Oryctolagus cuniculus: one gene and its partner. The protein of the gene in region 1 interacts with the protein of each later gene in a pairwise test. Links are inferred from orthologs where the notes say so. Each region holds a gene or a part of one and is shown in the gene's direction. Other genes may lie near its edges.

Region 1 (4,265 bases):
ATACACCGTCCCATGTGAGTGATTTAGGTGGCTATATAATTGACAATCCCAGAAAAACGCTAATGTCCAGTCCTCCGATGTCCATTTCAGAGTTTAAGAGTAAGAGGGCCAGTTGCCACCCCTGAGTGGCATGTCCAAGCGGTACACAGGAATGCACCCATTTTTGCACAGTGGTGATTTGCACGGGCTAGACGCCAGCACTTGCTTTTGTGAGATTTCAGGGATGTTAGAAAGAAAGTCAAGGTTGAAGAAGACATCTGAGAAAAGCAATGTTCGGTTCTAGACACAGGCACAGCTCTGGTCCTCCGGGGCCTTATTGCACGGATTTCTTCTGGACTCAGTTCGTTGCTCTGTGTAGGGCTCAAGGCGCCTGGGGGGTGGGGGTGGGGGGTTGGGTTTCCTCACCTAATTAGGTAGCTGGCCAGGTGATGCTCAGGCTACCTGCAGTCTGTCCCACTTCTCGGGCGCTAACCGGGCAGGGCTTCCGCACACTCCCAGCTCTGGGATCGCTACCCAGCAGAGGTGAGGCGAGTGAGAGCGTTCAGGGAAGACCTGCTGCAGGTAGGGGTGGGAAATCTCACGGGAGCGCCGTTTGCAAAGCGGGCGCCGTGTGCTCTGTCCCAGTTGTTGGGGGTGAAGAGCCCCCAGCTACCCGCCGGTGTGCGTTCTGTTCTGGGTCAGAGAACCAAAGGGCAGGATGACCTTCGCGCCGCGGTGTCGGGTGAAGGGTCAGGCCCAGCCCGGACGAACTTCACAGGCCAGCGTCAAGTTTCCCGTCTGGGTGCGCGTGGACACCACGCGTCCAGGAGTCGGGTTTGCCATGGCACCAGGAAGCGTCTGTGCGGAAGCTTTAAGGTGAGTGTGAGGTCAAGGCTGCAGTGGGGCCTCCCGGCCCCGTCTCCGGACAACCCCCGCCCCTCCCACCCCCCAGTCAGCCTTCCCCTTTAAAGCGCGTGCTCGTCAAGGTCCCCGCGTCCCCTCCCTGCGGCCGCACCGGCAGCCTCGGTTTCCCCCACCTCCCCCTGGCCCTGCCATCGCTCCCCGACGCGCTGCCCCTCGCCCACCCCCGGCCGCGGTCCAGTCGGCGCGCGGGACGCGCCTGTCACTTTACTTTTGCGCGCCGCCTCTCCGCCCCTCGCCCGGCCCGGCCCGGCCCGGCGGGGCAGCCCGGCCGTGCGCGCGCCCGCCCCCGCCCCCTCGCGGCCGCGCGCCGGTGGAGGAGGGGCGGCGTTGTGTTGGGGGGGGAGGAGGAGAGAGGCGCGCGGCGCCGCACGGCCGACGTGGGGCTCGCGCTCTCGCGGTCTCTCCCGGGCGGGCGCTCGGGCACGCGCACTCGCGGGCGCGCGCGCGGACGGCCGGCTGGCGGCGGCGGCGGCTCCCGGAGGTGGTGGCTTCACTTTCCAGGACTCAGGCGGCCACAGCGGCGGCGGCCGCGGGGAGCAGCCTCGGAAGCCGGAGCTGGAACGGCTGCGGGCGGCGGCGGCGGCGGCGGCGCGGAGGGTGAGTCCGGGGCGGGCGCGAGCGCGGCGGGGACAGGCGTGGCCGGGCGGTCGGGTGCGGGGTGCGTGGGTCCGGCTGTCGGCGATCGGACGGGCGGCGGGGACCATTCCGTGGCCCGGGCCTCCGCAGCCCCTTCCCCCGTCGCGCCGCGCAGCCCTGCCCTCTCCCGGCTGCGTGTGGAGCCCGCGACCTGCGCGGACACCCCTCCCTCAGGTACTCGCTCGGGCCCGCCGGTGCCCCCTGCCTCGGGCGCCCTCCCCGCCTGCCGGCCGCCTCAGCCCCCCTCGCGCCGCAGGTCTCCGTCCGCACCCCTCGAGCCCCGGCTCCCTTCCTCTCCTGCGCGCGGCGTGCACCGTGCCCGGCGCCCCCTCCCGAGAGCCTCCTGCCCCCGATTCTCGCCCTTTCCACCCCTCCCCCTCCTTCCCATCCTCCCCCCCTGGTGCCTCTTCCCTCCCTGCCCGTCGTCTACCCCCTTCCGTTCTCAGTTCCCCATCCTTCTCCACCGTGCCGGCCCCTACCCGCTCCCAGCCGCATCCTGGAACTAAGTCTTTGCAAAAAGTACAGCGTAAATGTCACGGTGGAAAGTGCCCGGCGTGATCTTTCGCTGTTTTCCCTAATTGCATAATTGCTGCACATGGTGTCTCCCCTGGCGAGTGCCAGGTCTGGCTCCGCCGCCCTTGCACCCCGGTGGCCCGCCCAGAGGAAGACCTTGGGAGGTGTATTTGTGTGTGCCCTGCTGTGGGGTGTGTGTGGTGTTGGTCTTTTGTGATGCCTGGTGCTTGTCACAGTTTGGAACCGAAGCCCATTTTTCTCTGCAGCCCCCACTGGCCTGGTTTGAAACTGGATTCCCTCTGCCCGCCCCCCCCCCCCCCAACACCAAATTCGCCCCTCTTTTTTTTTTTTTTTTCCTCTCTAAATATTTTGATCCTTTTGCCCTTTACCATTTCTAATGAAGATAAAGCGTGGCTTCAATGTGGCTATTTTTCCCCCCACGGCCAACCAGAAACGTCCAATCCATCTTCCCTTAAGGAAATTAAGGCCGCTTTAGAAAGACATCATCCTGTGCTCCGTGGCTGTTAGAGCCATTTGCATGTTTCCAAGATTCACGAGCGTCTACTCAAATATTTTTATTTAAAAGCACAAAAGGAAGTGCTAGGACCTATTCTCAGCTTATCTCACTGTTCAGAAAGGGTTTTAAGCTTTGAGTGTTTCGTCCTTGATTCTTGAAACAGTATGTTTCTGAATGTGTGATGATTCTGTCTGGACCTTGGGAATCTAAATATTTGTCTTAGACAGTTTGAACGCTCCCCTTGGCTCTTGGAGTTTCATATGTGAGCTGATGCTAAGAATGGAGTGTCTTCAATGCTAAGAATGGAGTGTCTTCATACGTTGTACCCCATCCCATCTCCCCTAGGACAACAGTACCCCACCCCCCATCGGGTGTTCCACAATTTCTTGCATAAATATCTTTACAGGTACGTTAAAAGCTAGGTATTGCCAGATGTTGTGTATATTCATATAGCATAAGTTATTTTACATATTATAAAAGTTTATAAAAATGTATAAGAGGACAGCATGATACAGATGACAGAATCGAACGTTTTCCTGGTAGGAAAGCTGACACGAACACTTGCTTTTTTAGTTTTATACTACGGGATACTATTGCAAGGCTTGTCTGCAGAGTGATCTATCATTGCTCTTATGTTATCAATAATATTTATAACGAAATCACTCAACATTTATGGAGCATGTGAGTTTCATTCACTGTATGATGCTCATTCCCAGGACTAATTGCGACATAGAGTACATAACTAAGACAAATTCAGTGTGTTGAAGAACAGTATTTAAACTCTTAAATATAATACATACTTTAGGAGGGTCTGCCTACCTGAAAATGTCTGTTTATAAGTCAGCTTTTGTTTTGAATGTGAACTAACAAGAGTAATGCACAGATCTCAGTCTCTGACAGAGCAGCTCTGTTTGGAACACTGGGATTTGTGTCTGTCTTTCCTCTAGATTAGATCATTGGGTCAGATTAGCTATTTAGGGATTACTTTTAAATATAATTTTAAAATGCTAATTTAGAAGATAATAGTTAAAGAGTTTTAATTCATTTTTATTCATTTGTACACTAGAGAGAAAAGACACCAATTTTATACTTACAACTAATTAAAATGATTTATAGACTACTTTTTCTTCATAAAAATCAGTTGCACCTGAGTGGTGCAATATTTCCTTTTCCATATTTTTCCTGTAATTAGTCATTCAAAAAACAAAATCAGCTGAAATTCCCCTTTTTATATTTTAAAAAGAAATATGAAAACCATTTCTAAAGTGTCTGTGGTGATTATCAGTGGTCTCAGATGAAGTTTTCGTTTGTAGGTTAAGATTTGGATGAAATAAAGTATCTTATAAGGTCAAAAGTAGTAACATAATTTTTTCTTTATTGTGAAACTATAGATAATTTTGCTCTATTTGGGCATTTTAAACGTAAGCATTTTTAATAGTTCTCTCCTTAGACTAATTTTTACTTTAGTCTTCTGATATTCTGGAGTAATTTATGAAATTTGAGTTTTAGATCATTGAGTAGTCTTTAAGTCTGTAATCATAGCATTAATAGATAGTGTGTCATGCACATAAATGGAACATTGAGAAGAATGTGAAGCTTTATAACTACTATGCACAGCTGAAACTCTAGGCATAGCTTATTAAATCAGAGTTTATTAAACTGAAGCTTCAGCTTCAAGTAAGAGAGTCCTATTTCA
Region 2 (3,812 bases), on another chromosome or scaffold:
CTCTTCCGATTGTTCAGGCCAATTTGACCGTCTTCTGATTGTCAAGCAGTGTCTATCCTATATGCTCTGCAGTGTGAGATGAATAGAACTAATTTTGGTTTTCCAGGTAATAACACAAATGTAACATCTGTACCAGCAATACACTGTGTAATCCATGAAAACCAAGTCTTCTTTTCCTAACGGTTGTTTGTAGCCTAAGCTCCTGTTTTTCATTAGCTATTTATTTCCCAGTTTTGTGGATGCTTTGATTCTGCCATCACTCAGTCTTGGCGTCACCAACTGAAGACGGATATTTTTTCACAAGAGACTTGCTCCAAGAGGCAGGTGGCACAGTGAATAGGGTTCTGAAATAGAAGTTAGCGTAATTTAGGGGTTTTATAGACTTACCCCTGTTAACATTTCATTTTCTCTGCTTTGACTTCTGGCATAGTTCAAGGAAGCACATATTTTTCCCAGCTGTGTCATATGATAAGGAGTTTAAAGTCCCTGGAACTGAGGTAGCAGTAAAGAGGGTCATATGATTTAGAGTAAAGTCTTGGGAGTCCGTGTTTCACTTAAGTATTATATATATTTCCTGCTTGGCTGAAAGGATTGTATGGCTGATTTTAAACTTGTTTATCTTTGCTCCTAGACATTAGTTTTGTTTAGGAATATTCTAACTTATCCCTTACTTAACACTACTCCGGAGGTGAAATAAATGGCAAGCCACTTTATCCTGTGTTTTGTATTGGTGAAAAACTTTTGTATTTACTCATAAAGTAAACCAGTTTTTTATTAATCATCCTTAACTTTTAATGATTTTATATAGCTTGCATAGAATATATGTACTTAGATTGCATGTATGTCTTGTGATGAGAATGATACACTCACACAGAGTGGTGTATTGGCACAAAAAGGAAACCTTAAACATTTGTCCGTCGCCAGGCCCTCTGTGTAGTCCTCTTGCTCTCTGACATGTGTTAGGGCTCCCAACAGAAGGAACCTAGATGAGGTCGCTGGAGCACATGTTGCCTTTCCCAGAGAGCTGACTGTTGGCACTCATTTCACACATCCACCTAGAGCTTCTTGGAGCTTTCTAAACGTGAAAATGGTTACTTCCTGCCAGGAAGATCGGAAGTCCCAGAGTATTGTGTTGTGATTTTAAAGTGAATAGTATTGGTAATAATGGCATTTATGAAAATAAACTTGGACCATATACACTGGCTTAAAGTAAATCAGATGGTTTCATGACAAGAAGAGACATTTTGGGTTTCCTTTTAAGTTCCACTTGGTTTTGTGGTTTTGTTTTTAATTTTTAAAACTTTGGTTATGCTTTCAAATTTTAGTTTTAATTTTTCATTTTATTTGAAAGACAGAGAGACAAATAGAGATCTTCTTCCATCTGTTGGTTCACTCTCAAATGGCTTCAACAGTCAGGACTGAGCCAGGCCTAAGCCAGGAACCCAGAACTAACTCCAGGGACCCAAGTACTTGAGCCATCTTCTGCCTCCCAAGGGTGTGCATTAGCAGGAAACTGGATCAGAAGCAGAGAAGCTAGGATTTGAACGAGGCACTCCAATGGCAGCAAAATACCCACCCTTTATTTGTTTTTTTTACTAATATCTTTACTGAAATTTTGCCTTCATTCAAGCCAGGAAGATTAGGGGATGAGAAGGAAAAAGTATTAATGGTTAGAAAGGCTGACATTCATCAGAAAAGTCATTGTCATTAGATATTTTGAATTAATTTAAGAATTTTTTTCTTTTTTTAAAAAAATCTTTTCTTGCAATCCTAATTGTATTTGAAAGCTATTTACAAATTTGAAGAAGCTTAAGAATGTAAAATTAACTATGGTAATTCTTTTTATATGTGAGAGCTTTTCATGATTGTTAAGAAAAAGTCATAAAAGTAGTATCGGTTTATTCAGAGTTTAATTCAATGGTAAGCACAGGTTTGACTCTTATTCCATAATTATGTTTTGAAAAAAGTAAAATTTGAACTTGTTGAACTCAATTTGTGATAATTTTTAATAAGTTTTATTTGAATTGTTGTTTAAGATTTTCTTTAAAGAGCAAAGAGAAATGACTCCAAGGACCATTTTCTTCTTGTGTAACTTTATTCCAGAAAAAAAACCATGGGGTGGAGAATGTGGCTAATTTTTTGATATGGTTTTGACTCCCCTTCTAGGTAATGGCCACAGAGTGTAGGAGTTTAAGTCTTTTCCAGTTGGGTAGTAACTCCTTCAATAAGAATTACTGTAATAATATGATACACAGTAACCAAGAACTGGGAACAAAGTATCTTTTTCCCAAAAAATGAAATTATATCATAGATACAAAAGGTTAGCTTGACTCCATTTTAGATCATTAAAGTTTATTTATTTTTTTCTTTTTTTGGGGAATAGGTCATAGCAAACGACAGAAGTCCCTTGGTGGGTAGAATTCACTGGGAGAAAATGGTCAAAAAGGTATCAAGATTTGGAATACGGACAGGCACTTTTAATTGTTCCAGTGATCCCAGGTGAGTTGTCAGGCAATTCTTAGACTTTGAATCCCAACTAAGATCTTTCTTGTTTAATAAAGACAAGGATATGGAAGCCTGCTTGAACTGAAAGCTAATTATGTTTATCACACTGCCAGTTACACAGATGCTTGACTAATAGTTTTTTGATAAATTGGTGCTTAACTGATTTTCTCTCTCAGATCTTTTTCTCCTTTTTTTTTTTATTACTCCCACCCCCGCCTCTTTTGTGTTCTTCCTATTGGGGGTAGATATCCTTTTGTTTTTCTTTTCTAATGTATTTGAAAGGCTAGAGACAGAGATAGAAATGCTTGAACAGCTGGGACTGGGCCAGGCCCAAGCCAGGAGGCTGGACTCAATTTGGATCTCCCACATGGTTGGCAGGGGCCCAACTACTTGAGCCATCACCTAGTGCCTCCCAAGGTGCACATTAGCAGGAAACTGGAGTCAGAAGCAGAGCTGGGACTTGAACCCAGGCACTCTAGAATGGGATACGGGCATCCCAGGTGGCATTTTAACTGTTACACCTAACACCTGTCCCAGTTGGGGGTATCTTTTTAAGAGTATGTCAGTTTTCTTTTCCAGAATGACCTCCGCAGATTCACGGCTTAGTTAACATCTCTGTGCTAATGTAAATCTCCTGTAATTCTAACCTCTAATGTGTGTTTCTGTCTGCTCTGTCCCATGTGCATTCTTTTTCCTGATGTCCAAAGTCAGATCCAGCCTCTTTTTCTTTAATCAGTCATGTTCCATTTCCCTTTCTCTCTCCTTCACTGTTTTTTGTTTTTTCTCCATCTACTCAAGCAAGAATCCTTGAAAAGCTCCGTATTTCGGGTTGTCATCGCCAGTATTTATTCTGACACATTATTTTGTGTTCAATATTACATTATTTCTTCTTTGAAAATGTTCTATTTTTACTTATGATGCCACCAAGTTATAACTTGTAGTCATTCATTCATTTGATTATTAATTTGATGGATATTTAGTAAAGATAAGTGTATACATCAAGTTTTGTTTGGTGCTGCAGTGGAGGCACATCATTGATTGATGTCTATGTAGAAAATCCTCCCGCACAGTATTAGGTAGTTTTTAGGTAGTTTCTTTCTTTCTTTCTTTTTTTTTTTTTTTTTTTTGACAGGCAGAGTGGATAGTAAGAGAGAGAGACAGAGAGAAAGGTCTTCCTTTTGCCGTTGGTTCACCCTCCAATGGCTGCCACGGCTGGCGCGCTGTGGCCAGCGCACTGCGCTAATCCGATGGCAGGAGCCAGGTGCTTCTCCTGGTCTCCCATGGGGTGCAGGGCCCAAGCACCTGGG

The links.
Region 2: the proteins of UBE2E2 (region 1) and RNF103 interact in a two-hybrid assay, tested with the Homo sapiens proteins (2 studies listed by BioGRID). The link is inferred for Oryctolagus cuniculus from reciprocal best matches to the Homo sapiens genes UBE2E2 and RNF103.

What each region holds. Positions count from the first base shown.
Region 1 is NC_091435.1:159,115,779-159,120,043, forward strand, and holds the start of UBE2E2 (ubiquitin-conjugating enzyme E2 E2), read left to right. Parts: upstream 1-1,361; 5' UTR 1,362-1,500; intron 1,501-1,543; exon of another isoform or gene 1,544-1,713; intron 1,714-4,265.
Region 2 is NC_091433.1:116,144,609-116,148,420, forward strand, and holds part of RNF103 (E3 ubiquitin-protein ligase RNF103), read left to right. Parts: intron 1-2,383; coding exon 2,384-2,499; intron 2,500-3,812. UniProt on the Homo sapiens protein: Acts as an E2-dependent E3 ubiquitin-protein ligase, probably involved in the ER-associated protein degradation pathway.